Linked DNA regions of Struthio camelus. The protein of the gene in region 3 interacts with the protein of the main gene of each other region in a biochemical or structural test. Links are inferred from orthologs where the notes say so. Each region holds a gene or a part of one and is shown on either strand. Other genes may lie near its edges.

What was found.
Region 1: the proteins of PCNA (region 3) and POLL form a complex in vitro, tested with the Homo sapiens proteins (3 studies listed by BioGRID). The link is inferred for Struthio camelus from reciprocal best matches to the Homo sapiens genes PCNA and POLL.
Region 2: the proteins of PCNA (region 3) and CHAF1A form a complex in vitro, tested with the Homo sapiens proteins (4 studies listed by BioGRID and IntAct). The link is inferred for Struthio camelus from reciprocal best matches to the Homo sapiens genes PCNA and CHAF1A.
Region 4: of the proteins of PCNA (region 3) and USP1, one has a biochemical effect on the other in vitro, tested with the Homo sapiens proteins (6 studies listed by BioGRID, with this or other methods). The link is inferred for Struthio camelus from reciprocal best matches to the Homo sapiens genes PCNA and USP1.

The regions. Positions count from the first base shown.
Region 1 is NC_090948.1:16,303,803-16,310,690, forward strand, and holds the start of POLL (DNA polymerase lambda), read right to left. Parts: upstream 2,993-6,888; coding exon 2,878-2,992; exon of another isoform or gene 2,632-2,877; intron 2,600-2,631; coding exon 2,302-2,599; intron 1,619-2,301; coding exon 1,450-1,618; intron 1-1,449. Other genes in the region: protein DPCD, read left to right, coding at 2,991-3,080, 3,529-3,700, 4,651-4,719, 5,413-5,537, 6,303-6,436.
Region 2 is NC_090967.1:4,459,023-4,466,574, forward strand, and holds the start of CHAF1A (chromatin assembly factor 1 subunit A), read left to right. Parts: upstream 1-4,546; 5' UTR 4,547-4,705; coding exon 4,706-4,712; intron 4,713-5,059; coding exon 5,060-5,110; intron 5,111-5,347; coding exon 5,348-6,168; intron 6,169-7,552. Other genes in the region: SH3GL1 (endophilin-A2), read right to left, coding at 2,990-3,034. UniProt on the Homo sapiens protein: Acts as a component of the histone chaperone complex chromatin assembly factor 1 (CAF-1), which assembles histone octamers onto DNA during replication and repair.
Region 3 is NC_090968.1:2,625,782-2,633,600, reverse strand, and holds the start of PCNA (proliferating cell nuclear antigen), read left to right. Parts: upstream 1-4,817; 5' UTR 4,818-5,171; coding exon 5,172-5,392; intron 5,393-6,242; coding exon 6,243-6,340; intron 6,341-6,606; coding exon 6,607-6,674; intron 6,675-6,751; coding exon 6,752-6,946; intron 6,947-7,280; coding exon 7,281-7,404; intron 7,405-7,518; coding exon 7,519-7,601; 3' UTR 7,602-7,819. Other genes in the region: CDS2 (phosphatidate cytidylyltransferase 2), read right to left, coding at 4,450-4,518. UniProt on the Homo sapiens protein: Auxiliary protein of DNA polymerase delta and epsilon, is involved in the control of eukaryotic DNA replication by increasing the polymerase's processibility during elongation of the leading strand.
Region 4 is NC_090949.1:35,396,034-35,402,946, forward strand, and holds the start of USP1 (ubiquitin carboxyl-terminal hydrolase 1), read left to right. Parts: upstream 1-3,896; 5' UTR 3,897-4,048; exon of another isoform or gene 4,049-4,227; intron 4,228-4,496; 5' UTR 4,497-4,574; coding exon 4,575-4,744; intron 4,745-5,889; coding exon 5,890-6,013; intron 6,014-6,372; coding exon 6,373-6,480; intron 6,481-6,913. UniProt on the Homo sapiens protein: Negative regulator of DNA damage repair which specifically deubiquitinates monoubiquitinated FANCD2. Also involved in PCNA-mediated translesion synthesis (TLS) by deubiquitinating monoubiquitinated PCNA.

The DNA.
Region 1 (6,888 bases), on a different chromosome or scaffold from region 3:
AGTTCCCTCACAGAGAGCTCACATCCAAACACAGGACCTCCCGGAGCAGCCCTTGTCCGGTATAAAATACTGGAACACTCACCATGCCCTAGAGAAGAACATTCGCCCAAGCTAGAAAGGACGCTGTGCTTAAATGGAGGCTATTTCCAACCTAAGAGTTCAGCTTCAGCTTTTCTGTTAGAGCTAGGTCTTAAAAGTACTTGGCACTGTCTTTAAAGTATGTCCAATGGATTCTCCTCTCCTCCCCAAACTAACCTAGTCCAAAGCTTGAGCCAAGAGATTTTTCTCCAGTCTGCAGATGGTTCTGGGCACAGATTAACCACAGAAAATATCATCGTTTGAAGCAATTTAAAAGAAAAAAAAGCAATACGGTTTCAAACAGACTCTAACTGCTGTCTGATCACTAAAGTAAACGTGAGCAGAAAGCAAGGCAGCTGCCACGGGATCCATAAGAGTACAAAAGCCCTTTCCTTCAGTTAAGGGTGAGATTCGTTAATAAAGACTGCCATTAAATTAACCAGAGTTACAAGAAACAATAAAGATGGGCTAACAGCAAAGCTGATGAAGAGATTAGAAAGCAGCAGCCAATTCTGTCTATAACACACTGGATAGTAAGTCTGAGAAGGCGCTCCCCACATACACATTCAAGAGAAGGGGAAAGCCCAAAACAAAGGAGCCCTCAGTGGGCTGCCAGCTAGGCAGGAGCTGCAGGGTTTTATGAAACAGAATTGGCAACTGTGATTTTGGAGTGTGCAGGCAAACTTGGCATCAGAGCACTATGAGATGGCTGTGGCTCCCAGAGGTCTGGAGTAACTTTGCTACAGATAGATCTGGACGATGCCAACGCCAAAAAAAAAAAAAAAACAGCAAACGAGCAAAATGCAGAAAAAGAAAAGATAGCTAAGGTCGGGTCTGGAGAAGGCGACTCACAGCAGAGGCCATTAATAACCCAGCATGGATATTTTAAGCACAACACACAATCATTTGAGTGGCAACCTGATCTATTGCACATGTGTCTGAATGGGGTGCTTGCCAAGAAGTGGAGAATGGGTCAGTATGGCTCAAGCAGGAACACAGAATGAAACATCAGAGTTTCCTGAAAGGGAGATATTCTCGGCCAGGGAATATTCCCCAAAAGGAGGCAGAGGAAACATGATCACCAGAGTGAGCCTTGGCCTGATCAAAGCACCAGGACTGCTTCTGCTGGAAATGTTTTGATGGAGACAGGAATTTAAGGGGTGTTTTTTCCACTTTTAACACCTAAAAGGAACAAAGAGAAGCAGTAACTACGTCCACAGCCCAAATCTGCCAGCACCAATCCACTGAAATAGCCAAACGCCTTCGCTTTCCTGATGTTTTCTGGCATCATAGCCCTGCAGGGATGCTCTTAGCCAAGAAAAGCAGTATGCAGGACCCATTCACAAGAATGACCTGTGCTGGAAGCCTCACCTCAGCTGGCTGCTGCTGTCCAAGGATGCCCAGGGTTTGCGGCAAGGAATCTCCCAAGCGTGCTTCAGCCTTTGGTTTCACAGCTCCGTCCCCTGACTGGGGCTGGATCTCTTTGCTAGCCAGGAGCTTCTGCTGCTGCTGTTTTTGCAGTTCTCCCTCCTCCAGGTACCTGCCATAAGAGGTAGCATAAGAGTAGAGCATAAGAGCAGGAAGACTTCTCAGCCCCCAGATGTTTGACTAGGAAATCCTTCTGCAATTTTTAGGGACGGAGCAAACAACCAACAAGAATTTTGCTCTCTCAGATCACAGATTCATTACTTCGGTCTTGGCTCAGTCTCCCAGTCTCCATTCTCTTCGTTGACCTGCACCTTTCACTCCTATCTACCTTAGTCTTAGACTCTTCCTCCAAAGCTCTGCCAATACATTTTGATCCTAACCTGCAGCTGCCTGCTGCTCCGTTTGTGTTTCCTTGCGTGCCTAGTAGTCAGTTCTCTCTCTATTTTTCATCTGCAATAAGCAAAAACAGCATTTAATTCTCAACATTTCTAAAAAAAAAACCTCCTTGCTATCACTGATGGATTAGGAAGAGCTGCCTTGAGCACCTGTAGCAAGCAACAGTACTCCTGGTAGCATTTCCGGGCTCTATTCCAAGTTCTGCTATCCCACAGACCAGTAACTAGTCACAAAGCGACTAAATTTCATGAACTATACAGGGGGAAATGACTTTGAGCCATGCCCAAGGGACCTGCAATGAGTTTCAGTCTAAGATCTTGAGCAGAGGTGAAATACCAGTGCAGCTCAGCTTGGAATAGAGGCACTGTGGGGGAGAACGACAGCCTAGGATTTGCATACCTGCAAGGGATAAAGACACTGTAGCCAGTGGTACTCAGCAGCTTCTGGTCTCTAATGCAAGCACTTAGCCAGGATGCCTTCACTAGCTGCAACCCTGAAGGTAGCTTGGGTAACTTAAGGAGCCGAAAGGCACGATCACAGTCCATGTCTTCAGCCACTATGACGTGCGTCACCTCCGAGGAGAGGTGGGCGTGGACCCGACCCCCATTCTGGACAATTTGCTTGTGGAAGATCTCTGCCCTGGCTTGGCCAATGCCAGCTCGCAACACATAGGCAGTGACTGGTTTCAGCCACTCTGCTGAGGAAAAACACAGGGCAGGAGGTCAGTGTGAGAGAAAGAGTGTCCCAAACCAGTCAGGCTACCTCTCTCATGCGGGACTCCTTGGGATCAACCGCGGCAGGCAATCTTTGGGGGCCACCAGCTGCAGGCCTGTGGCTGGACACACCAAACCTTGCCAGTCGCGGCCTCTACAGGAAAAGCACCTGGGCCAGAAAAAGCCTCTGGGAGAAACACATCTCCAGTTAACAAGCTGGGAGATGAGCACTGTATACGCATGACGGGCAGACTGCACTTACCCTCAGGTACCCCTGCTCCTTCCTCTTTGGTGATCTTTGGAGGGATGCTTTTCCCCGAGTCATCCCTCACCTTCTTCCTCTTGGGAAAGGCCTTGACGATCCCCCGCGGCTCCATGGGCTGCGCGTCGCTTCCCCGCGGGAGGGTAACGCTGCGAACGCCGAACACCGCTAAGGAAGAGGAAGGTTGCTCGGCACAGTATCAGGCAAGCACCCCAAGCCAGGCTCCGCTCATTCGGCTCGCAGGCCCGGCCGGCGCGGGGCCTTCTCCGTGCTGCCTCGCCAAGGCGCGCGCGCCCCGGGGGAAACACCTGGAAGGGAGGGCGCAGGACCCCCGGCAGAAACCGCTAAGGAGCCACTTAAGACGAGCCTGCTCGAGGGCCCTGGAAACCACGAGCAGCAGGTGCTCGCAGCACAGAGGCAACGCTCTGTTAACGACGAGGAGCTCCTTCCTGCCCGGCCAAAAGCTTCATTTCCCACGGGTGTTTTAGGGAGGGAAACACCCCTCGCCACCGGGCGCGGGCAGCCGCCGCCGCCATCACCGGGGCCTCAGGCCGCAGCAGCGGCAAGAAACCCCCAGCCCGCCTCCAGCTGGAGGCAGAAAGTCGCAAAGGCCGCCCGGGCCAGCCCGACAGGTTCCCCCCGTCACTCCAGGCCCCCCGCCACCCCTCTCACCGGCGGGCCCGGCCCGGCCCGCGATGGCGGCGCTTCCGGCAGCGGGCGGAAGCGCGCGCGCTGCCATGGCGACGGCGGGCGGCCGCCATGGCGGTGCCGAGCTGGCTGGAGAGGCTGCGGGCCGCCCGCAAGACCGCGCTGGTGCAGGACGGTAACCGGCGGCCCGGGGCGGCCCTCCGGGAGCGCAGCGGGGCTGGGCGGGAGGGGGGCGCTGGCGGGCAGCGGCTTGGGGCCCTGCGAGCCCGCGGCCATGCAACCGGGGAGAGGGTCCTTGAGCGGGGGACAGGGCCCCAGACTGGGGTGGGGGTGGGGGGGGGACGACGACATGGCCCCTGAACAGGGGACAGGGCCCCAGACTGGGGTGGGGGGGGACAGGGCCCCTGAACAGGGGACAGGGCCCCAGACTGGGGTGGGGGGGGACAGGGCCCCTGAACAGGGGACAGGGCCCCAGACTGGGGTGGGGGGGGGGGACAGGGCCCCTGAAAGGGGACAGGGCCCCAGACTGGGGGTGGGGGTGGGACAGGGCCCCTGAAAGGGGACAGGGCTCCAGACTGGGGTGGGGGTGGGACAGGGCCCCTGAACAGGGGACAGGGCCCCTGAACAGGGGACAGGGCCCCAGACTGGGGGTGGGGGGCAGGACAGGGCCCCTGAACAGGGGACAGGGTGGGACAGGGCCCCTGAACAGGGGACAGGGCCCCAGACTGGGGTGGGGGCGGGACAGGGCCCCTGAAAGGGGACAGGGCCCCAGACTGGGGGTGGGGGGCGGGACAGGGCCCCAGACTGGGAGGGGGGGTGGGACAGGGCCCCTGAACAGGGGACAGGGTGGGACAGGGCCCCTGAAAGGGGACAGGGCCCCAGACTGGGGGTGGGGGGCAGGACAGGGCCCCTGAACAGGGGACAGGGTGGGACAGGGCCCCTGAACAGGGGACAGGGCCCCAGACTGGGGCAGGGGGGCACAGGGCCCCTGAACAGGGGACAGGGCCCCAGACTGGAGGGGGGGGCAGGGTCATACATCTGGGGACAGGGTCGTAAACCCAGGGACAGGGCCTCCGAGAAGGGGCTCCGTCTGCCTCCCACCCTCACCGCCCACTTTGCCTCTAGGGAAGAAGAAGGTCCACTACCTGTTTGAGGATGGCAAAGAGATGGCTGAAGAGTACGACGTGCAGACGGGTCAGTTAGTGAGTAAGTGACGCGCTCGGCTGGCCCCCAGCTGCCCCAGGCGTAGCAGAGCGAGGCGAGTGGCACCAGTGCGTGCGTGCGGCAGCAGGTCTGCGCTCGCCAGCCTGGGGTAATCTCCCGAGGGACCTCCTGGTTAGAAAAAAGTTGCTCCCAAATGGCCCAGAAGACAATTCTGCCTTTAGCGCCCCTGAAATTTGTAGGGATGTAAATAAGGTCCAGCTTGGACCCAGAGGTCTCTCCCTTCCAGGGCATAGCAGACCTTATTTTAACCCAGGATCTCTCCTAAACATCCACTCTGTCACAACAGGCTTGAAGGGACCGAAAGGGATTGCCCTCTCGGTCTGTAGCACGCGCTGGGGTGAAGTATGCTTTTTGACAACTTCTGCAACCGCAAGCAGGCAAGATGTCAGTTTGGGTCTTACCCAAAACCACATCAACTGCAGTGTGGCACCTGCTGCAAGCCCTCTGTGGGTTCAGCACCGACTAACAAAAGAGAGAGACTCAGTGCTGATTTTCTGACTTTAGGAGCTGGCCAGCTAACTGATCGACTTACACCTAAGTGGAAATGACTGGAATTAAGGGAAAAGGCATATCATCTCAATGGGCTGGGCAATTTTGTTGGCTATTTTCTGGAGTACTTTTTATGGAACAGAATAATGAAAACCCTCCTTCTCCTTTCCACAGGTAGAAAATGGCGAGAGAAGAATGCTTTAGGGGGCTCCGGCAAGTGGCAGGTTGAGGTGGGAGAGCCAACCTCACCTCTCGTGGGAACACTGGAATCAGAGCTCATAAAGGAAAGCAGCTCCAATGTATGTAAAGGGTCTGCAGGCACCGCTCCGCCTAGAAACCTAGCCTCGTGCTTACAGTAGTAGTTCGTAGACTGCAGATCACTCATAGCCCCAAGAGGCAGCCTTAGCTGGCCTAGTGCTCATCCCATAGGTGTGGGGCTGAGCAGAAAGGGCACAGTTTAGTTTGTTTGCAGTCTTCAAGAGCTTTGGAGTTTCCTTAAGTAGAGAAACTGTCTACGTTGCTGTGTTGGCTAGCTCCTGTTTTGGCTTCCAAAAAATAGCCTCAAAGGAAGGCCAGTGCCTGGACAAGTCAGTGGATGGAAAGCAGAGGCAGTGACCATGAGAACATGACACCTGCAGTGCATAGCACTGCCTGTATCAGCTTCTCATCCCAACAGCTTGCAAGGCTGTTAGTCTCTAATCTGAAACACAAGCACAGCCCTGCACAGCAAACTGGGACACAGCCAGGACCAAGTGCAGCAGGTCCCTAGGGTAGGGGAAGAGGCCCGGTTTCCACATAACACTGTCGTTCAAGAGCCCCTCGTTGAACATTCCCAGCCTCCTACAGGCAGGGCAGGCAGTGAGTGCCCTGGGTAAAGGCTGTGCCATAGCAGTGCCAGCTTTAGGAGACTGATGCTCAGGCAGTTTGAGTTATTCCCTGCTCTGCTCGAGTGTGAAGGAAGGGCTGCCTCATGTGAAACCTCTCAAGATAGTACAGGAAGAAGGGCTAGGGAAAAGAGAAGACACAACTGGAGGGGACTTGCTAAAGGTACTTGTTTGCTGCAGCCTGTCTTCATGAGGAAGGATACCCTGACCAGCTTCCAGTGGCGGATCCGTAACCTGCCCTACCCCAAGGAAGTTTACAGTGTCTCCGTGGAGAAGGAGCAGCGCTGCTGTGTCATCCGGACCACCAATAAGAAGTCAGTAAGGACAGCACTGCCAGTGCTGAGAGTCCCTCGGGGTGGGCTGGCATAGAGGACAGGCTAGTGATGGCACAGGGGAGGTATCATCTCTTGGCTTTAGGCTCTGCCATGCAAGGACTGAGCAACCACAGCCAGTATACACAGCTGAGTGCCTCCTCCTGTCTGATTTCCACTCCCAGGTACCCCAGACATGTCTCTGGTAAAGCCCCTCAGCTCTGCGCTGCCCTTCACAAAATTATCACACAATTCCAGTAACAAGATGTTTGCTCTGTCCTTTCCCTGTCCAGCAGCACTCCTGTAATAAATAAAATAGGACCCCCTCCCCGACCTCTTGAAGCTAGAGTCGCCAGCTCTAGATGACGGAGCATTTGGATGACACTTTGATCTAGTCACATTTCAGAATGTGTGGAGCTGCAGGATTCAACTGGTATAGCATAAGTCATGTGGGC
Region 2 (7,552 bases), on a different chromosome or scaffold from region 3:
GCCTGGGACCGGCCCGGTCTCACATCCCTGGCGCTGACGGAGGCTGCAGCGCAACTTCCCACCTTGCTCCTGGCTCACAGCGCTGGAACTCAAAGATGCTGTTGTTTCTCCCCCTACCTCTTGGGAGAATGTTTTCGATGGGATTTTTCCCCCTCCTTAAAAAAGGACATTTCACTGTGAACTAGCAAAACCTGTTCTGGACGCACACACAGAACTGTTCACCCTCTGCGGCATTTGCAAGCAGGATTTTTTTTTGCAGGATACTATCTCGGCTCTCTCCTGCGTGTGGGCGCCTGGCAGCCTCACCCAGGGAACATGTAGACCCACAAGAATCAGATAAGTCAGGCCTTCCTAAAGGCAGGAGCTCAGGACCAAGCCCTCTTCACCGCCTGCAGCACCACCCTGCTTTGTCCGGGTCTGGAGGAGGCCGAACTGGCAGCCTCTTCTCGCTGGGAGGCAAGGGGGAAAATCCCACACCCAGAGCTGCAGCAACAGAGAGGTTCTGAGAGGGTCCTCACAGGCCTTGGTCCTGGCTACGTTTTCCTTCAATCAACAACAGACATGGAATTAACTGCAACATTTTAGGAAAAATCTTCCACATGTTCGGGTTTGGCAGCACCTAATACCTTTAAGAGAGCCAAAAAATAACTAATCCTCCTTCTCCTTCAGCCAAGGAGCCCAAGAGTGGGACTGGTGGAAGGAGGGGGAAGAAGAGTGAAAAGGGAAAGAGGAGGAGGAGAATGCAGGAAAATGGTAGAACTGGGACCAATCGCTCCCAGATCGCAGAAAAAGAATCTCTAAAGCTCAGATACTTCTGCGTCCCAGCCCCCAGGATGCTCCAAAGGAGCCAGCAGTGTCTGTCCTCTGATAGCAGACTGCCCTTCTCTACTTCCCCGCAAAGCATGCAATTCACTTCTGCAATGGTACCGTGAATATTGGCAGCAAGCCTCGCGTTAAACGCAATTTCTTCAGATTAAATCAGTTTCCAAAACCCTGCAGCAGCACGAGCTGCAAAAGAACTCAAGGTGCAATTGCACCTACACCTTATCTCCCACTTTTTAGTAATGCCCTTGAACATAGTGTTCAAATAAAGCATGTGCGTACACACACAATATACAAACAGGCCACTAAGTCAGAATATTTGGGCTACATCTCACCAAAGAGCTGCATGGGGTTTAATTTTTCCACGAGCAACTAGAACGGTTCCTTTCAAAAAGTTACATATGGAACAGAAAAACACCTGCAAAGGCCACCTGTGATTTACCTCAGTTTAAAATAATTCTCCTGGTGAAAAGTTTCAGCAGATGTTTTAGGATGACGCACTCGGACTTCAGAATCACGTTACTTTTGACTCACAGATGAGCTTTCACCTCTAATTGCCCTGCTACGACAACACAGCAGATCTGCACAAGTAAAATCCTCCAACAATGAATTTTCAGTGCAATCTTTCCCTTGGAAGTTGTAAAAAACTAGATGCAGGGGATTGCTTTTCTGTCGCAAGAAAAGGGATGGGGGAACGACTTAAGGAATTTATTATTTTGCTTTGCTGCTTAAGCAAAATGCTTTTACATGAATTACAGCCAAGAAAGGAGGCAACACACGTAGCAAACATATTTGGACCAAGCTTGGAAGTGTTGAAACATTACGCCTGGAAAACACACAGAGCCAATTGGTAGATCAGTGCAAAACTCATCTGTCTTAAATTTAAAACAGGGGCACAAAGTGCTTGTGAACTGCATTAGAGGCCAATCCCCCCGCGTTCAGCTGGAGAACTTCAGCCCACCGCCAAGCTGTGAGGAGCCATACCTAAGATGTACTTTTTACGAAGACGTAAACACGCTTTTTAGTTCAGGAGCGTCACTTTGAACTATCAATTAAGGAAGATTTTAAATGGCTTCGTTTGGCTAATAAATTACTAAAAAATTGCACCTCTGACAGTTTTTCCAGAATCGCCAGGCCTCCATTTCCTGTGCAGCGCATACACAGGCTGAGAAGCTGGACACCCTCACCCTGCAAACCGCAAAATCCTTTCCCAGTCCCAATGTCAGCTACTATCAAGGAAGCGGGAACTTCCTGAGGTTAGGCTGCAGCTGCAATCTGCCGCTGCTCTCTGCCAGGCTGGGCTTAACGAGGGCCGGTGATCCCTAGCCAAGACCTCACCTTCCGGGCCTGAATTCTGCTCCGCTGCAGAATTTCAGCCTTTCCGTCTTTATTTTTTTGCTCCTGGAATCCATACACCGACTCGACGTTTAGTCCAAGAGCATCTCACCGCCTGCAGGCTCCTTGCCGCGCTGGTCCGTCGCCGCCCTCGCGCCCTGATGCCCACGGGACGGCTGCGGCTCGCTGGCGGCGAGGTTTGGGGCGCGGAACGAGCTCCCTCCGTCCCGGGGCCGCCGTCCCTTTCTGGCGACGAGGCGCAGCGCGTCCGCGCCGTCGACCCGGAGAGAGGACTTCAAGCGTCGCTAGAAAGCGGCGGTGGCGGCCGACCCGGCGTCATCCCGAGCCCGGGACCCGCCGGTGCGACAGGAACAACCGCGTCTCCTGCCAGCTCGGCCCAGGGCTCGGGCAACCTCGGAGGGCGACGAGCGGCCCAAGCCGGGAGGCTCCGCCATCTCGCTGCGCCGGCGGCCCTCGGCCTCCTCGGGACGCGGGAGGGGCCCCGCCGGTGGCACCGAGCTGGCAGTGACAGAACCGGCACCGGACCCCGGTAGCGGGGAGGGTGTGGGGGGGGGGGAACGGGCACCGGTCCGGGATGGGAGTAACGGCGCGTTGTCAGAGGGAGCGGTACCGCCACCGGACGGCGATACCGGGGGGGGGGGCACCGGGGAATAACGGCTGGCACCAAGCTGGAGGACACGAAACCGGCAAGGAGGGCACCGGGGGGGGGTGACGGCGGGAAACGGGGCAGCACCGAAGCACGGCAGCGGGGGGGGGGGGCAGCGCGCCGGGAGGGCTGAAGGCGGCGCGGGGGCAGCGGCAGGGCGCTCACCTGGCTCGCCTTGTAGAACTGCTTCTTCAGCCCCGCCACCGACATGCTGCCGCCTCGGCCGGCCGCGCACGGACACAGCGGGCGGCGGACGCCTGGCGCGCAGCTTCCGCCGCCGCCGCCGCCGCCGCCGCGGGACCCGACCCGCCACCACTGCGCCCCCTGCCGGCCTGGCGGGGCGCCGCCACCGCCGCCGCCACCGAGAGGCGCGCGGCTAGAGCGCCGCCCTGCTGCTCGGCGGGCAGCCGCGGCGCCCCCTGCCGGCGCGGGCGGCGCAGGCCGCGAGGGAGGCGCCCCCGGGAGGAGGGGAAGGAGGTTGTGTCGCGATAGTGCCGCCCCGTCGGCTACGGTTTCCGGCCCGGCGCAGCGACGCCTTCGCCGCGGCGACGCTTCCGCGCTCTGACCGCCGCCTCAGCGGCTCCGCTCTTACCTGGCGGCGGGAGCGTCGTGGCAGCTCCGCGGTCCAGCGTAACTCTCCGCAGGAGACGGGCACAAGCCGCCTGCGCGGGAGGCAGCGCTTTCTCAGCCGCTGGTGCAAAACAGCTCTCTCCGGACCCGTAACCGGTTCCGCTCCCGCCCTGAGTGCCCTGCTACGGACCACGGGGCGCGTTTATAAACCTAAAGTGAAAAAAATACCTTCAGCGACGGAAGCGTGAAGGGTCAACTCCTACAACTGCCAGAGCGAGGCACCGCAGGGCGCTCGCTCCGTCCCTAAGGAGGGGGGACAACGCCAGCCCGCGAGCGCCATGGGGCCCGCAGCCCTCCCGACCAGGAGGGAGCTGCTCCCGGGGAGGCGCGGCGGGCAGGCTGGGCGGGGGCCGCGTCCCCAGCAGGCCCGTGGCGGGGCGCTGCGTCCCACGCCGCCTGGGGCAGGGCAGCACGGGGGGTCAGGGGGCGGCGGGCCGAGGCCTGGGAGCGAGGGCCCGTGTGGGGACAGTGTGGGGACAAGCTGTGCCCCCCTTCCCGCCCGCCCCCCCCCCCAAGGGCTGCCATAGCGCTGGGAGAGGCAAAGGGGCGACTACAACTCCCAGGAGGCTCTCCGCCTCGCAGCCGCCGCCGAACTACAACTCCCAGAGGCCCTTGCGGCAGCGTCTTCGCGCCCTCCTCCCACACCCCCGCGCGGAGGGGGCTCGCGCCGGGAAGGCGCTCGCTCATTGGCTGCCGCCGCCGCCATTTCGCGGTTTGGCTCGCGCCCCCTTGACGGCGCGGCGCGGCGGCCGGGTCTTTCCCGCTGCCCGGCGCTGCGGAATGGCCGCTCCGACCTCTCCGGAGCTTTCCCCCGGGACCGCATCGCCGCTGTCTCGGCTCCCGCTCGCTGAGCAACGAGGCCTCGAGGCCAGGCGTGAAGAGCCAGCTGGAGCCTCCCTCAGCCAGCCAATCAGCTCTGCGTAGCGGGCCAGACTGACAGCAGCCTGCGCCAATCAGCTGCGGCTATCCCGCTGGCCAATCGGAAGGCAGCGAAGGCGGGCAAGCGCCGGGCCTCCCTCCGCCGGGCGAGGCGGCGTTCTCGCGAGACTTGGGCGGCGGGCGCGGGGGCGGAGCGGGCGGAAGGGCGCGTCACGTGGGGCGCGCTCCGCCTATCGGCGCGGTGAGGCGCGGGGTCGCCCCGGCTCCCGCCAAATACGAGCGGGTCCCGCTCGGGCGGGGCGAGAGGGGACCGGGCCGGGCTGTTGCCGCTGCCGCCGGCGGAGGGAGCGGCGGGCGCCGCCGCCCCCGCCCATGGCAGGTAGGGGGGGCTGCGGGGCCCCCGGGCGGCGCCCTCGGCTCCGCCGGCCCGCTGCGGTTCCCGGCGGGTGCGCTGAGGCCTCCTGCGGTAACAAAGGGAGGCGCCGGGCCTGGTCCCGCCGCCGCTGCGGCCCGGTGGCCGCTGTCCCCCGCTCGCTGCCGCCGCTGCTACTCGGGGGGTGGCCAGGCCCTCTCAGGGCGCCGGGTCGCGGCTGGGCTTTGTGTGGCCGAGAGGTCCCGACTGCCCTGCGTGTTGGGGAGGGGCGTCGGGGCCGCTGTGGCCCGGCTGCCCCTGGGGAGCAGGTGACTAAGCAGAAACCTGTCACTGGTGTTTTTTTTTCCTTGCAGCCATGGAGTGTCGAGGCAAAGCGGTTGTTCCCCCACGGAAGCTTGTGCAAGGTAAGGCTCTGGAGCAGGTGTCTAGCACCCAGTGCGGTCTTAGTGCTTTAAAACGTGTCAGGCCTGAACTTGTACAATAGATTGTGTTTGCGATAATAAACTCTTCCCTTCTAGCTCATCAGTTTCTCTTCTTGTGTTTAAGAACTAGGTGAATATTGCAGTGTTTGTGTCCCTTCCCCCCCCTCCCCCCATGGGTTTATATGATGTGACTAAAATAGCGAAATGTTATTGTTTCAGCCCGGCTGCCTTTCAAGCGCTTGAATCCTGTACCAAAGGAAAAATATGATGCGGATTCAGAAGTCAAAAAAGTAAAGAGCTCACAAAGCAGTTTTGGACAAAACAAGGATTCCTCTCTCGATACGTCATGTGCGTCCCTGGACAATGTGGAGAATGACTGCCAGTTGGATGCAGATGTGAATTTTACTCCAAAACTTGTTAACGGAAAGGGTCCGTTAGATCACTTTATACAGAAAAACACAAAACATAACACAAATGACACTGTAATCATTATTGACCTGACAAAGGACTCTAGCCATAGACTGAGTGATGATGTGGACCATGCTAATTTAGATTCAGAAGCATCTTCATCTGTAGGTATAACTAATGGCATGCTAGAAAAAGATATAAACCAGTCGAGTTGCATGAATTCTAGTCAGAATAGCCCAATGGATGATTCAATGGAGACTGCACCGTGTGAAGCTGCGGCAAATAAAGATGAAGTTTTGGTAGGTGGAAGCCAGTCTTGTTCTGGGTTACCAGAGTGTAACAACTTGGAGAAAACAAAGATAAATCAGAGTGAACTGAAGGATGTCATATTTGAGGGGAAGATGCCTGTAGTGCTCCTGGAGGATATTATGACTGCCAAGTCTCCTCAAGTTGCTTCTCTGGATGGAAGCATCACATCAGAAAATGAGACTCTGGAATCATCCCGCGAAGGAGACTCTCTACTTACTAATTCCTCCTTAAGTTCTCACTCTGTGAGCTCACCTGAGGCACAGCCTGCTGCAGAAACAAAGAGAAACTGTAGTCCTTTAGCTGTCTCCACGCCTATTAGGAAGGTTGGTCTCTCTTCTTGGGTTGTTTTCTAAATATTATTTCATTAGAGTAGGGAGTATAGTAGGTAATAAGGCTTTCTGAGCTCACAGTGGAAAGGATGACTAGGATATTCACAAAGCTCATGGGAAGAGTCTGGAGAGCGTTGCCAACTTATTCATATAGTAACTGAACTATTACCCTTTTGAATCCTTTAAACTGTTTACCTAAAATATTTAAATCTTGCTCTTTTGAGCTGCTGGTAAGTTCGCGTAGTGTCAATGTAACTTTAAGTTCTATTATAGATTCATGCTTATAAATTGATGATGAAGTGCATGCCTCGTGACTTATCATTTTGGTAGTTAGCGCGTGGACAGTGTTCAAAAGCAGTTTTGTCTGTAAGTGATGTTTTACAACCTCCATTCTGTACTTCACGAGGCCGTTCCAGTTACTATGACAGAACGCTAATTGGAAGCGTAGCCTAGTCACTTCTAGCACAAGTCGGTGCGGATACTTCTCAAGTTCCGTGTTTCTGAAACCGGGGGGTAGAAAACAATGCTTTAAGCGAAGCTGCAGTGCCTTGAGGACCTGTAAGTTGGCAGTTGAGGACAGAGGACAAGTCAAATGAGTCTTTATCTGCTTCTCAGAATTAAGGGTACAAAACTTGTGCTGTCAGCCATCTTGATAGGTGTGCACCATTTGACATGGGCAGTTGCTTTAGGGGAAAAGTCAGGGTGTGTTCAGCGCTCCTGGGGTCATGTGATGCTTTTGGCCAGCGAAGGTTGGAGCACAAGGATGAACACCTCTAAAGCCATAGCTCTGCATGAGCTGGTGGTTTGGAATCTGAATTAGTTTCAATTTAGTGTCTCGGCTCTATGGAGAAAGTGATGAAAGCGTTGTGACTTTTGGCCCTGTACTGCAAGGGGAACTCTTAAATTAAAGAGGGCATTATCTGCGCAGATGGCTGAAAGGATCACATGACTTGAACGGTTGAGAAGTGAATAGGCTTTTCCAGAATATATCCGTTGAGATGTAAAGTGGGAGTTTCTCTTGCAGCAGGCACAATAACCTCATCCTTAAAGGCGTGGGGTAGAGCAGTCCTGGTGAATGGGCTTGGACACTCTAGGCAAGCCTGGCCTAGACTTAGTCCGGACTATTTGGCCTGTGTATTTGTTTTGCCCTAACTACATTATTAGAGGGGAAAATCAGGAAAGTGGATATTGCCCTGTGAGAGTCTGAAAACGACATATGTGGCTTGAGTAAATGAGGGTGAAGAGATGGAGCAAATTAGTAGAATAGGAAAGTATACGTGCTGAGCAGGGGTGGAACTGCTCCTGGGTTTGCGCTCGCCAGTTATGTCTTCTGGCGAGAATTGCTTTCTGCTGTTTTGAGCCTTTTGAGAAAGCTTTT
Region 3 (7,819 bases):
CGTTCAGGATACGCGCCGGCCCCAGCTGGGAAGAGCAACACAAAACTCGCATCCCAACTTCCCTCTTCGCAGCGGCGGGCCTCCCTCCGGGCCACGAGACTGGTCCCCGGCGTCTGGTCGCAGGCAGGCGGCAAGGAGAGACCCCCGCGGGTAAATTGTCTAGTTATTAAATAAGGGCGGTACGTAGACGCCAGCTCTGAACAAACCAAAGGGGCTGAGTGACGGAAAAGCAACAAGCGTTTCAGGGGGGTTTCACCCGAGCATCCCGAGTCTCGGCGCTTGCGCCATCGCGTCGTCACATGCGCCTCTGTGCGAAGGGCCGCCTTGCAGTCCTAGAAGGAGCGGGGCGACTCCAACGCGCTTGCTCCCTAAAGCAGCAGCGTTTTCCTGGGATCAGACTCCTCCGGCATCACAGAATCACAGAGTGGTTTAGGTTGGAAGGGACCTCTGGAGACCATCTAGTCCAACCTCCCTGCTCAAGCAGGGTCCTCTAGAGCATATTGTCCAGGATCACATCCAGACGGGTTTTGAATATCTCCAGGGAAGGAGACTCCACCACCTCTCTGGGGAACCTGTTCCAATGCTCTGTCACCCTCACAGTGAAGAAGTTTTTTCTCAGGTTCAGGTGGAACTTCCTGTGGTTCAGTTTCTGCCCGTTGCCTCTTGTCCTGTTGCTGGGCACCACGGAGAAGAGGCTGGCCTCATCCTCTTGACACTCCCCCTTCAGATACTGGTACACGTTGATGAGATCCCCTCTCAGTCTTCTCTTCTCCAGGCTGAACAGGCCCAGCTCTCGCAGTCTTTCTTCCTAGGAGAGGTGCTCCAGCCCTCTAATCATCTTGGTAGCCCTCCGCTGGACTCTCTCCAGCAGTGCCATGTCTCTCTTGTCCTGGGGAGCCCAGAACTGGACACAGTACTCCAGGTGAGGCCTCACCAGGGCTGAGCAGAGGCACAGGATCACTTCCCTCGACCTGCTGGCAACACTCTGCCTAATGCACCCCAGCATACCATTGGCCTTCTTGGCCACAAGGGCACACTGCTGGCTCATGTTTAACTTGTTGTCCACCAGCACTCCCAGGTCCTTCTCGGCAGAGCTACTTTCCAGCAGGTCAGCCCCCAGCCTGTCCTGGTGCCTGGAGTTATTCCTGCCTAGGTGCAGGACCTTGCACTTGCCTTTGTTGAACTTCAGGAGGTTCCTCTCCACCCAGCTCTCCAGCCTGTCCACGTCCCTCTGAATGGCAGCACAGTCTTCTGCTGTGTCAGCCACTCCTCCCAGTCTAGTATCATCAGCAAACTTGCTGAGGGTGCACTCTGTCCCAGGGTGCATCGCCACAAACGAGCCAGGAAACGGGCAGTTCGGAGGAGGACGCGTGCCATTGGCAGAAGGGAGTAGTGGGCCGCTGTCTGAAGGACATCACAAGCAGTCTGTGCCTCTTGCATTGGCTCCAGGGCAGGCCAGGAGCTGGGGAAGGTAGTAACCGTTGACCGTCGGTTATAACGAGCTCCATTAGAAGTGCAATCAGTCCCGTCTCTCCTTGCCACAATTAACAGTGGCGGATAACGCGGCACGCCTCTCGGCAGCCGCGCATAAAGCTGAGCGTTAAGCAGCGAGGACGACCGAAATCAGACCTGAGATTGCATCCGTGAAGAATAAATGAGGCTCACTCTTCAGCAGAAGCCAAGCAAACTGATGCTCAGGATCAAGTCTAAAATAATTTTAAGAGCTGTAAAAAAGGAGCCTTTGGGGCAGGTCTGAAAGAGGGCTTGTAATTCTGCCTCTCTTAACCATGCACTAGACGGAGAGAGGCATCGCATCCATGCCCCGCTCTCTCTCCCTAGCCAAACAGCAGCCTTAACTGCTCCTTCCTTTTCTTCGGCACGGGCCAGGCAACCCTTCGCACCAGCCCTTGACCCTCCCAAGCAGACCTGAAGCGGTCAGCGCTAGTGCTCAAATACCTGGCGTTTACTTAGCATCTGCTGCAGGTGCGACGAGACGCCGAACGCGGCACCGTGGAAAAAATTCGCCTGCCCGGCCCGTGGCGCGGGGACGCCGCAGAGCGCGGCTGCTGCGTGGAGGACCGCTTCCCTTTGCCCTTGCAGCTGCTGCCTCTCCTGCCGGGGACAGTATTTTCCACCAAGGCACTGAGGGCCAGTGACAAAGAAGGGGGTAAACAAAGCCCCGAGTGACGCCTGCCCGTTGGTGTGATCTCCAGCCCAGATAAGCCTGCCCCTAAATAGACTTGCCCTCCTCCCCTTCCGCAAGGCCAGCCCCTGAGATGTCCCCCACCGATTTCCGAACCAGTGCAACGTTCCAGCAAAAGGCCAGAAAAGGGGGAAAAAACCGCTGCCCTCGCTGTCGAATCACAGGCAGCACAAACCACTACTGAAGAATGACATTAAAATCCCATTAAAACAGCAGAAGCGTTCAGGAGCTCTGCACATACTGTGAAATATATATTTTTGGCACCTTTACTACTCTCTTTGGAAGCTGGAAGAGAAAACGGGATTCACCGGGATGCCTACAACACGAGCGATCGTATCTCTTGTCTCCAGTTTTACATGACGAATGAGCCTATCAAGTAAAACGCAGCGTCTACGAGACGCGAGGGAGAACAGCAGCTGCATGGTAACAAGAAACTAGAGTTTGTTCCAACCATCTAATCTCAGCAGCAGCAGCAGCTAAGAGCATTTAAGTCCTTCGGGCGAAGAGAAAACAGGCACCACGCACAAAAAACAGCAGTTCAAGTTCTCCTCCTGTCTTTTAACCAGAGAGACCTGATGGAGTTCGCTCCTAAAGGAGTAAGAAGATGCTGCCTTATGCCTTTCGGGAAGAAGACTGTGCTGCAGGACAGCTTGACAAAAGTCCATTTTAAAAGGTTCTTGCCCAAGGGTCTCCATTGAATGAGCGCGGTGTCGGCTGTAAACACCGCCTGGTGCCAACGGAGAGGAAACGGTCAAAGCTGTGATATCGTGCAAGGGTTACAGGACCTGAAAGTGAAACCAGCCTCTCTCTTTCCACCGTCAAAACAGAGCAAAGTGGAAACAAGCACAAAGCAACCCAGCTTACGACTTTCCGGGTCCGATCTTAAAAACAGCCTTGAGGCTTACAACTCATTTTCACTTGTTTCCTTTAATACACCAAAAGCTCTTTGCAAAAAGCCACAGCTGTTTCTGCAGAATATAATACCTCTCGCTAAATCGTTCTTCCCGGCGAGGCTAACCGAACGACGCAGCGGCCGTGGGCATCTCCCCGCTCGACAGCGATAACTGCACGGCGCCCCGGACAGGCTAAGACCACCGATAAATAGTATGAGAAGAGCCGTTTTGCGGCCGGTTGGCTTTCTACCGATGTTAGGCTTGATCTCAGGGGAGGAAAGAAAAAAGAGGAGGAGCCCTTTAGAAGGCCCATTATATGTTTAAAAAAAAAAAAAAAAAAAGCACAGCACGGAGATAACAAGATCGCGGTCAAACTAGCGGCCCTCTGACCTGCTTTAGCAACACAGCACGAGCAGCTAAAGCAAGACCGCGGCTTGGCAAACGCAACTATCTAGAGGATAACGGTTTTGCTCTACGCAGCGCCGCGACAAAAAAGAGCGCTCTGACTGCCGCTCCGATCGAGGTCGGCCAAATCCGCCCCGCAGCCAGCCCGCTTCGCGCCAACCACGCACAAGGCAGAAACTTCAGACGGGCACCGAGGCAACCCGCTCGCAACGCCGTCAGCGCTTTCCAGCTCCCGTCCTCTCAGGACGTTAAACCGCGAAAGAGGTTTCTGAAGGATTATCTCACGGCCGGGCGCAGAGCGCGCTCGGCGGAGGAGGGAACGCCACCAACACGACGCTCCCGAGGGCCGGCTAAGGGCAAACGGGGCGGCCAAAAAAACGCGCACGCTAAGGCGCGAACGCAGCGAAGGAGCGCGGTCTCCCTTCCAGGTGTTGCCACGCTTCCTAGGGTTGTTATTTGCCCAGAGAGACTTCTGCTCTCTCCTTGACAGCTCAGTGGCTGCTTCTCCCCGGCCCTTAGGGCGCAGCGAGGGCTGGCGGAGCGGCGGCCGAGCGCGGGGTTCGGAGCGGGAGCATCGCGCCGCGCTGGGGCCGCAAGGAAGGCAGGCGCTCCAGGAAAGCGAGAGCGGGGTTTCCTTCCCGGGGGTTATTCCGAGGAGAAACGCAAGCGTGAAAACGGCCTCGAAGCGTCCGAGGTCTCGGTGCCGCGACGTCTGGCCCGCCGCGGGGTGTATTTTGCCAAGGGTTATATGTTATAACTCGGAAATCCCGCGTCCCCTCGGGGTTCCCCGCCCCAAAAACCCGCCCGGATCTCCGCGCTGGGAAGCATCCGCGGCTCGGCAGCAGGAGGAGGAGGAGGAGGAGGGGGAGGAAGGCTCCGCCGCGCACACGCAGCCCCGCAGCGCTCTCCGCGGCCCAGGCCCCGCCGCCCCTCCCCGCCGTCCCCCACCTTTTCCTCGGGCTCCGGCGGCGGCGCCGCGCCGGGCTGGCGGCCGAGCCGCTGCCGCAGCTCGCTCATGCCGGCGCCGGGCTCCGCTCCGCGCCGCTCCGCGCCCGACTCCCCCCCGCCGCCGCCGCCGCCGCTGCTGCCGCCGCCGCCGCTGCCGCTACCGCCGCTGCTGCCGCCGCTGCGCCCGGCCGCGGCCGCCAGGGGGCGGGCGAGCGCAAGGCGCGCTCAGCCAATCGCCGCCGCGGGACGGCCCGCCCGCCCGAGGGGTGGGTGGGTGTGGCTTCTAGGCCCCGCCCATCACCCTCCCTCCTCCTCGGCTCCGCCCAGGTGTACCCGGATGTGCGCGCCGCTCCGCCGCGCGCCGCCATGATGGGTGGTGCCCGGTGACGGCAGACGGACCCTGGCGCCTCGCGTTCTATGTGCGTGTGTGTGTAACGCGCGCGTTGATTGGCTCTCGCCGGGGCAGCGGGACTAAGGGGAGGAGCGGCGCCGGGATTAGCCGGAGTCGGGGTGGGGGGAAGGGGGCGGGGCAGCGCGTGACGTGAGCGTGGATCGGGCCTCGCTGCAGGGAGCGCGGGTCGCGATTGGCGCCGCCCCGGAGGTGGGCGGGGCGGGGGGGCAGGGTATAAAAGCGGCGTTTGGCGGGCTGCGGCCTTTGGCGGCCGCTTACCTTTTCTGTTTGTGCGTGCGGGCGGGCCTCGTCGGTCGCTGCCGCTGCGAGGATGTTCGAGGCGCGGCTGGTGCAGGGCTCGGTGCTCAAGCGGGTGCTGGAGGCACTCAAGGACCTCATCACCGAGGCCTGCTGGGACCTGGGCTCGGGCGGCATCAGCCTGCAGAGCATGGACTCCTCGCACGTCTCCCTGGTGCAGCTCACGCTGCGCTCCGAGGGCTTCGACACCTACCGCTGCGACCGCAACATCGCCATGGGCGTCAACCTCGCCAGGTAGCGGCGGCCGCGGCCTGTCGGAGACTGGGGACGGGCTCGGCGCTGAGGGGAGCAGCCGTTAGGGCCCGTTGGTGGGGGCGGGGGGGCGGGGGGGCTCGGCGCTGAGGGGAGCAGCCGTTAGGGCCCGTTGGTGGGGGCGGGGGGGCGGGCTCGGCGCTGAGGGGAGCAGCCGTTAGGGCCCGTTGGTGGGGGCGGGGGGGCGGGCTCGGCGCTGAGGGGAGCAGCCGTTAGGGCCCGTTGGTGGGGGCGGGGGGGCGGGCTCGGCGCTGAGGGGAGCAGCCGCCGCCCCTCCCCCATTCTCCACAGAACGCTGGCGCCGTTTTTCGCCGCGCGCGCGGGGCCTGGCGGCGGCGGTGACGTCACTGCCGGCGCGCCGTGGCGGGAAAGCCGGGCGGGGAAGGGGCCTGGCAGGGCCCTGCCCGCCATGGCGTCTCCCCGGGTGGCCCTGCGTCCCCTCCGTCCCAAGAGACAGGGAGGCAGCGGGGGACAAGCCTGAGCTCGGCTCTTGTTAGCCGTCAGGGTGGCTGGAAGCGGGGGGGGGGGGGTCTGGCCTCCCAGGCCGAGGTGCGCAGCAGCATGTGCTGCCTTCCTGGCACTTGGCTGTCATCTAAAGGGTTCACTGCCCTTCTGAACTTGTGGGGTGTGCTGCAGGTGCTAAAGGTGAGGGTTTTGTGCCCGCAGAAGGGAGTAAAGGACTGCATAGAAATCATAATACAGGATTGTGTCAGGTGTTGCACTGGAGGCTAGTGGTTGTTTCTTAGACGACTTTTAACACTATAGAGTAGTGAGCCCATATTTTTGCCCTATCAGGCTGGGACCTTTTACGATCTAGTTTTCGTTCCCCTAGCATGTCAAAAATACTGAAATGTGCTGGAAACGAAGACATAATAACACTCAGAGCAGAAGACAATGCAGACACACTGGCTCTAGTGTTTGAAGCACCAAGTAAGTGTTATGTTTAGTAAATAATTTGCTCCTGTGATGTTTTTAGGTGATCTTCCTAAGTATGTGGTGATCTTCCTGTGTCTGGGTGGTGGGGCCAAGAAGAAATACTTCAGAAGCTGGAAGGCTCTCAAAAATGGGACTAAACAAGATGGATCCCGTTATCCTAACTGAGGTGTTTTTACTCCGGAAAAAATTTTGGGTAGAACTTAAATTGAGGATGATGGCTTTTTTAAACACTTTGTCGGACTAAGCTTTGTTTGTTTTAGATCAGGAAAAAGTGTCTGACTATGAGATGAAGCTAATGGATCTGGATGTGGAGCAACTTGGAATTCCAGTAAGTAGCGACAACTGAAGTGTAGTGACTACATCAAGCTTCTTGGTAGAAGTTTAATTGTGACACTTCCTTTGCAGGAGCAAGAATACAGTTGTGTAGTGAAGATGCCTTCTGCTGAGTTTGCACGCATCTGCAGAGATCTCAGCCACATTGGAGATGCAGTTGTCATCTCTTGTGCCAAAGATGGTGTGAAGTTTTCAGCTAATGGAGAGCTAGGAAATGGGAACATCAAACTGTCACAGACCAGTAATGTGGATAAAGAGGAAGAAGCTGTAAGTTGTGTTGATGGCTAGCTGTTGTTCTCAGGGTTAAGGTTTCTGCTAGTAACTTACTCTCTATGGTAGTGTCATAGGCCACCTACAGGTAGATAAAGATGGGTTGTTTTTCTCCACTTTGTAGAAGCGAGTCAACAAATCACTGCCAACTTTGGCCCCTTAGCCCTGGGGTCTGCCGTGCAGTGCTAAGCAGAACAGAGTGGGGAATAGTGCTGGCTGTTCTCTGCCTTTGCCTGAGGTGTCTAGGTCTGTGACACTGATTTATTTGACAAACTTGGGGGAGCTTGTGGCTTGTGTTAATTGAACTCTAACCTGGCTGATGTTCTCCTAGGTTACAATAGAGATGAATGAGCCTGTCCAATTAACCTTTGCTTTGAGGTATTTGAACTTTTTTACCAAAGCCACTCCACTGTCACCTACAGTCACACTCAGCATGTCTGCAGATGTTCCTCTTGGTAAGTAGAAGCAGCTCTTCTGGGAAGTAACCCTGTAGAGCACTGTCCTCTTAGAACTATGTTAAGAGGGCTTGATTGGCTTTTTCTGAACTATTTTCTGAATATTTTTTCCAGTTGTGGAGTACAAGATTGCTGACATGGGACACTTAAAATACTATCTGGCTCCAAAGATTGAAGATCAACAAGAAGGTTCTTAATTGGGCTGGGAGATCTGCTCAGCTCTTTGGAGAAGACAACTGACTTTGTGAAGGAAATTGTCCGCACAGTTCAGCAGTTTCAGTACATTGGACCGTCAAATGAGCACTGTTAGGCCTGTTTTGTAGATACTTTTGTAAATATTTTTCAGCTTACTGTTTTGCTATACTGGTGTCATTCAAAATAGGAATTTTTGCTCTTCTAGATTATTCCTGTTCCT
Region 4 (6,913 bases), on a different chromosome or scaffold from region 3:
AGTAAAAAGTTGTACTTCAGGTTAATAGCTTCTGGTTTTCTAATATAATATGTTTCCCTGTGATGTGTCGCATCCTGTGATGTTGCTCTGAAATCTGGAAAAAATGTGTGAAAACAACAGAGAAATTGTTTTCAAAAGAAAACACTACAAATCTACTGTAGCCAGCTAGACTGGCATTAAGCAGGTTCTTTAGCTTGTACGGCAGCAAATTTTTCTGCACACAAGGGGCTCGATCAAGCCCCATGTCCTGTGGCTCAGTGATGCTGGGCATGCAGCATGCACAACTGCTTGGTAAAATTTGGCCCAGTGCAGATAACCCATGCACTAGGCAAATTCTGAGATTTCTGTGGAGCGTGGACTTTCTTCTGGCCACAGCACAGGACACAATTTTACTCATGCTGCTTGGATTCAACTAACTGTCCATTGGCCACCTAAAAAATAGGTGTGTGGTTTAAGCTACGTGTCTATGTTGCCTCCAAATCACATTCACTATAGGGTGAGATGACTTCCCCTTTGGATGTAGACCTTGGGGATTAAGTTTAAGAGATGGTCTGGACCAGCGCACATTCCCAAGGTCATACTATTATCTTTTTGCATGGGGCATGTGCAAACAATGCATAACTGCCTCAAGCACCGACCTTTCATTACTTTTTTTTCCTAGGTGGGTGTGGGTTTTAGGCAAAAGAAGAATTCTAGCTTTTACCCTAAGAGACTTTACCACATATATGGTATGTAAGGAAGCACTGTCGTTTCAAAGACAAGCCTACCCGGAGCAACTGGACTCCTGCCTTTGGCTTTCGTTGCAGTGTTACTGATTCAAGGTCCAAACGTTTACAGATTTCATCTTGTCTCAGTTACACCATCCTGTTTCTACCACAGACTTGATCGCCCAGCACCTTCCAGCTCTCGGTGAAGAGACTCCTCAGTTGGCTCCTGAAATTGGCAGCATAAAGCAGATTTAATGAAACACATTATTAAGCAACGAAGCAGTTTCGTGGCTTTTGAGCACCACCCACCTGGACACAACTTAATTACACTTGTTGTCTCATAGAAAAGAACCTCTGTAGAGCTGAGTGTTTGTGTATTTTAATTGCTGTGAACTTACAGCTGAGTTTACAAAGTGGAGTTAAATGTATATATGTCTGCATCGTACTGCAGAATTTAGGTCAGGAAGCAGCGGGGTCTGATACTTGATCTAGCTCTATGCACCCACATCACAAGATACACGGTACGCAGAGCTTTTTGGTATGCAGCTGTACCTCTGTAAAAGCAGCTCATGCTCCAAACCCTAGGAGTCCTACTTGCCCTTTCAGCGCAGAACAAGCCCTGCAGGAAGCCAGCTTCTCGCTGCAACAGAAACCCTATGGTATCTGCATGCCGGTGCCATGCAGGCTGGCAGACTTAGCAAGCTGTCAGGCATTTGGATGTATGCTAAATCCCATGACTTTCAATGGCAGCTCAGTATCGAACCAAATTTGGAGTTCTGTAAACCCCATGAGGCAAGTATACAAATCGTTAGGTCAAGACATACCTTGAGGATCTGAACCTTGCCTCCTGAGGTGAGGGGCCTGTGCTCGTGCAGGCATACAAGCATATTTTGCCCAGTAGGAAAATGCCAAATATGTGTTCCAAGAATGTATATGACTATCAGAGTGTATGGCAACGTCTATCATAATTCAAATCTGTGTTTAGGGATATTGATCTACAGTAATAATTAATTCATGTAGCAATTTTAACAAATCCAGACAGTTTGCAGAGAACTCTCTGAAATAAAATTGCTTTAAAAACCCTATCCAGATTAAGAGCTAGGCTTCCAATTTTCTTGTATCACTAACAGGTTTTACTCAACAAATGTCAAAGTTATACGTTGTTGCACAACAAATGTGTAACTTTTGATAACAAAAAACAAGCGCATAAATCTTGAGGGAACTGCTTGAAAAGAGGGGTGTAAAATATACTGGAATGTGGACAGGAGTCAGCTACTTGCTGGACTTTGGCCTGGAGGCCTTCCAGCTTTAAAGTGCTCAAATTTGGCGGTAACTATGCCCGAGGTGAAGGGATGCTAAGGCCTAGGATTGGGCATGGCCTCAAGTTGGTTATGAAACCAATCCTATTAAAACGTATTACTGAGTAACTTCGAAAATGCTTACAGAAGTTTTCCAATGGAGTCACAGACATACTTGCAACAAACAACTGTGTCTTGGCTTAACAGGCTTTTTAAAAAAATATAACTGTTACACCAATGCCTAAAAATTGTCACTACCATGCCGCCTCCTTAGTTCTCAAGATAAAAAACGAATCTTTAAAAGACTTCTGACACTTTGAGGCAATATTAAACTATGTAGGATCATAGTATATAGATTTGACATAGCTGGTTCATGTGGTATAAGAAATATTGATGACAGCAACATCTCCATCATGTTTCTCCCGTCTCACTCAGTAAGTCCTGTCATTGGATAGGAGTTGTGAAAAATATAAGACCTTATATGGAGTAAATAAGGAGCAATTTTCAGAGCCAGATGAATCTGTGAAATATAGAGGCTTGTAAGTAAAGGCAAGACCTCGTAATTCAGAGCAAGTGAAGCCACAATGAATTATTGAGGCCTTTTTTCATAAGCAGGATGATTCTGTGTTCCACAGATGTTCACTTTAAAATATTTTAAATCTAATGTCAGTCTTTCTTTTTATTACAAAAGGAAAGTGCCTATCTCTTCAGGTACGTAGAACTGTTTCTGTTCATAAACAGCATCTACTAATCGAGTTAAGGGGCCTATCTAAAATTTACTTTGCTACAATTTCAGAGACAAAGAGATGTATTTCATGACCTCTCATAATCTTGATTGCCAAAGATTCTTCTTCAAAACAAAAACATACCATTAGGCTGGGGGGGGGGGAAGAGGAGGACCAAAAAAAACCCTCCTAGCTTTTTTGTTAAGACAGTCTACTGAATCCATACTTGGAACACGTATCATGCACGTAATACACATATTTACTCCAACCGTCATCAGAATTGGTCACTCAGACCACGTTTTTAGGCACAGATTTTGCAGATTTCTTGTACTGCTCTACCTGCAAACCGCCTCTCTAGGGATGTGCAGCAGCAGAACAGGCTGATCTCTACTATTCTCCCCAAAACTGCCCAAACATGCTTTTGCCGGCATGTGGTGCCTACACTCAGGTCCTCGCAGCCATGACGAAGACTCTGACTGCCCGGATTCTTCACAGCCGCGCTACCCTAAATTTTCAGCACCGCCCTCACAGAACTAAGACAAGAATCCTTGGTTTATGAGTGAAAAAAGCTGGCGATAATTATCCTACGCACTTAGAAAATGAGCCCCCCTCCCCTCCCCGAACTGGCTCGAACCGGCCCGAACCGGCTGCCGCCGCCCCTCCCCCCGGGCGCGGCCGGCCAACGGCCGGCGGGCGCTGACGTCACCGCGCGCGCGGCCCTCCCCCCGGCGGCGGGAAGCCCCGGGGGCGGCGCTGCCAGGCACGGGGTTTCCCCGGCCGCGCCGCGGAGGCTCGCGCCCCACCCCTTTTCCCGCGCGGCCGTTACCTCGGGCCCGTTTGAACGGCGCGAGAGGCACGCTCAACCCCCGCCAGGCAGGGATTGGCCGCGCGCCGCTCGCTCTGATTGGCAGAGGCGGGAGGGGGCGGGGTCAGAGCGGGACCAATCCACTCCCCGCCTGGAGGTGGGGGGGGGGGGAGATCGTTCCGTGGGATGGTTTAGCCCAGCCTCCCCTCCTCCCCGCCCCCGCTCGCCTTCCACCTCGCAAGCCCGAGCCCTTTGGCCAGGCCGTTAGCAGCGCCCGCGCGCGCCCAGTCAGGACCCCGCGGGCTGCCCGCCGCGCTGCCTGACTGCGGGCGCGGCGGCGCGGCCCGTGCGCTGCCGGCGCGGCCCGTGCGCGGGTCCGGCCCGGCTGCCGCACGCCGCTGGGGCGCGGGCCGCTCGCGATCGCCATGGCCCCGCGGGCCTCGCGGGTGCCGGCGGCGGCTTCCGCTCCGGCGTTTGCGCGAGGCGGTTGCAAGCGCCTGGGCGCCAGGAGGGGTGAGGGCGCGGGTCCTGGCGCCGCGGAAAACGCGCCAAGTTTCCCGTTGTGGGGAGCGCGGCGCCGGGGCGCCCCGCGGTCTCCATAGCAACCGGGGAGGGGGTGTCCGGGGCAGCGCCCCCCGCCCGGCGGGCGCGCGGCAGGCGGCGGCGGCCGGGGCCGCGCGAAGATGTAGCGGGTGAGGAGGAGGCGGCGGCGCCCGCGGGGATCCGCTCCCGCCCGGCGGCGGGCTCGGGCCGCGGCTGCGGCTGCTGCCGCCGCCGCCGCCGCGCCGGGGCCAGGCTCGCCGGGCCGGGCCGGGTCGGGTCGGTCCGGGCTGGGGGCGGCGCGAGGGGCCTCCCGAGCGGGCCGGGGCGGCGGCGGCGTCCCGGGCCCCTGGGGGGACGGGCGGGCGGGGGCCGCTTCCCGCCGCGAAAGTCGGTAACGCTGTGTGTGTGTGTTTGACAGGTGTGACTGCCGCTCGCAGCTTTCTGTCCGGGCTGCTCTTATCCCCCCCTGCCCTTATTTGTTTGTGAGGGAGGAAAAATGCCAGGTGTGTTACCGAGTGACAGTAACGGGCTTTCGAGAGGGAGCCCGTCAAAGAAAAACAGGCTTTCATTGAAGCTTTTCCAAAAAAAGGAAGCGAAAAGAGCACTGGATTTTACAGAGTCACAAGAAAATGAACAAAAGAGCTCAGAATACAGAGGCTCTGAAATGTATGTAAGAGTTTCGTTTTGAATAAGAATTTCTGATTGTGATGTAGATCGATGTAAAAAATAATCCAATAATTCAGAGAGTTCTGTTTAATATAATGGATGAGCGATGGCTGTTCCATCCATCTGTTAAGTTTTATATTCTTGCTTCAATATGTTTTTCAACATGTATCATATAAACCCTAGACCCAGGTTAATCGGACTGAAATAACTCCTACTTGAGACCTCTAAGAAAACAAGTGAATCAACTTGCCTCACTATGAATGTTTAGTTGGCAAAAACTTTTTAATAACTTGAGGAAGTTACCCGTTATTTCACATTATTAGAAGGTAGTTATTCTGATGCATTATTTAAAAGGTAAAAAAAGTTTTGTTTTGTTTTGTTTTTTTGCAAAATTAGTTTTAGTGAAAAGTACTGGTTTTTAAAATGTTATTTCTGTTACAAGTAAAAGCATCATTTATGCTACTTACTAACTTTTATTAGGGTGTTTCAAGCCTTGAGTGAGTCTGTCAACTCATTTCGCTGCAAGTAGTGCAAAAGTTTTAATGGGAAAAAGAAAAATTGCCTCATCATGGCAGATTACAAATGCATTTAAGATAGTAAGATTTGGTCCTGTTTTACAAGTAACAGCACATTAACACTGATGTAATGTGCCAGGTTCCTCTCTTAGGTCTTTACCCTTTTGTTTTGTTTTCAGGAACTTATATGACATGAATCTGGAGTAGAGGTAGTAATAGGAAAATATGTGCTAGGCACATTTATCTTAGTGCTGCCTTAGGAGTAGACGAAGAGCATAAAAGAGCGTTCAAAAGACGAATGTTTTAGTTCCTTAAGTCAGTTTCCTGGTCTTGTTCAAAAAATATGTATTGGAACTAATGACAGATTTGCCTGCTTCTTGTAAACCTGTCTATTTCTGTGTATGTTGCTAGAAAGAAGTGTTTCAGTTGAGTGGGTCTGTCTTTGAGTGCATAGGGTAGCCATACTGAGCCTTCAGAAACAGTTTAACGCAATTTTGATTTATGTTTATTAGTCACTAATTTATAAGGTAACTCTGAAATGGTAGATGGCCAGGAGAGATAATTGCATGTGTACTAGAAAGGCTAATGTTTAAAAATTCTCTCTCATGTACTGTTTTCTCTATTTAATAGTGATCAGGTTGTTCCTGCAGCACAGCCTCCGTCACTCATTAGCTGTGAGAAAAAGGACACCATGTTGCCTTTTGTGGGCTTGAACAATCTAGGTAACACTTGTTACCTTAACAGCGTACTTCAGGTAAAGTCGTGTTCAGGGGCTTTTAAAAAAACAATTTTGTTTTGATTATGTACAAGCAGATGAGATTCCTAATTGGACATTATCTAGATGATGTCTAGATATTGTATAGAGGGAGTGTAATTACAGTGGAAAAAAAAGATGATACGGCAGGGAATATGTGCACCGTAGATTGCCTTGATTGAGTAATCTGTCAATTTACATACTCTGGCCACCTCCCTGCCATGAATAATTCTGTACCTTTGAGTGCTGTGCAGTAGCCTTAGGAGATGCAACGCTAGTTTGAGCTGAAGTGTGGATATATATTTTGAATAACTTCTTACTTTATCACCTGTTACCTTGTTTTAAACTGTTGCTTTCAGGTGTTATATTTCTGTCCTGGTTTTAAAACTGGAGTAAAGCATTTATATAATATCATTTCAAAGAAGAAAGAATCTTTGAAGGATGAAGGAGAGCAAAAATCAGAAAAGGTAATATTTCTCACGGCATGTTCTTTTACTTGCCGTTGTGCAAGTGAGGCTATATGCCAGGAGTATAATGTACATTTCACTGATTTCTTCTGTATTTATATGAAGACTTGCAGTATGGCTTTTGCAGTGCCATTTAATGTGAAGATACTGAATTGTTTTGGATTTATATTCAAATTTGATGCTGTTCCTCAGAGTTCCTGTAAAGCTTGAAAGCAGACGTCTTAGGTTTTTGAATTTCTATTAAACTTATCTCACCATATTTCTCACGTTAAGATAATTATGATACTCTTTGTAAGTGGATGGAAATTGCTGTTTGGCCAGAGATGGCTGTTTTGGGTTTTTAAAATGAGCAGTCTCCTGGGCTTTTGTATTTGTCTTCTGCTGGCAGAAGAGCAATATATTGACTGAGAATCACTTGTTTCCCAGAGCAGAC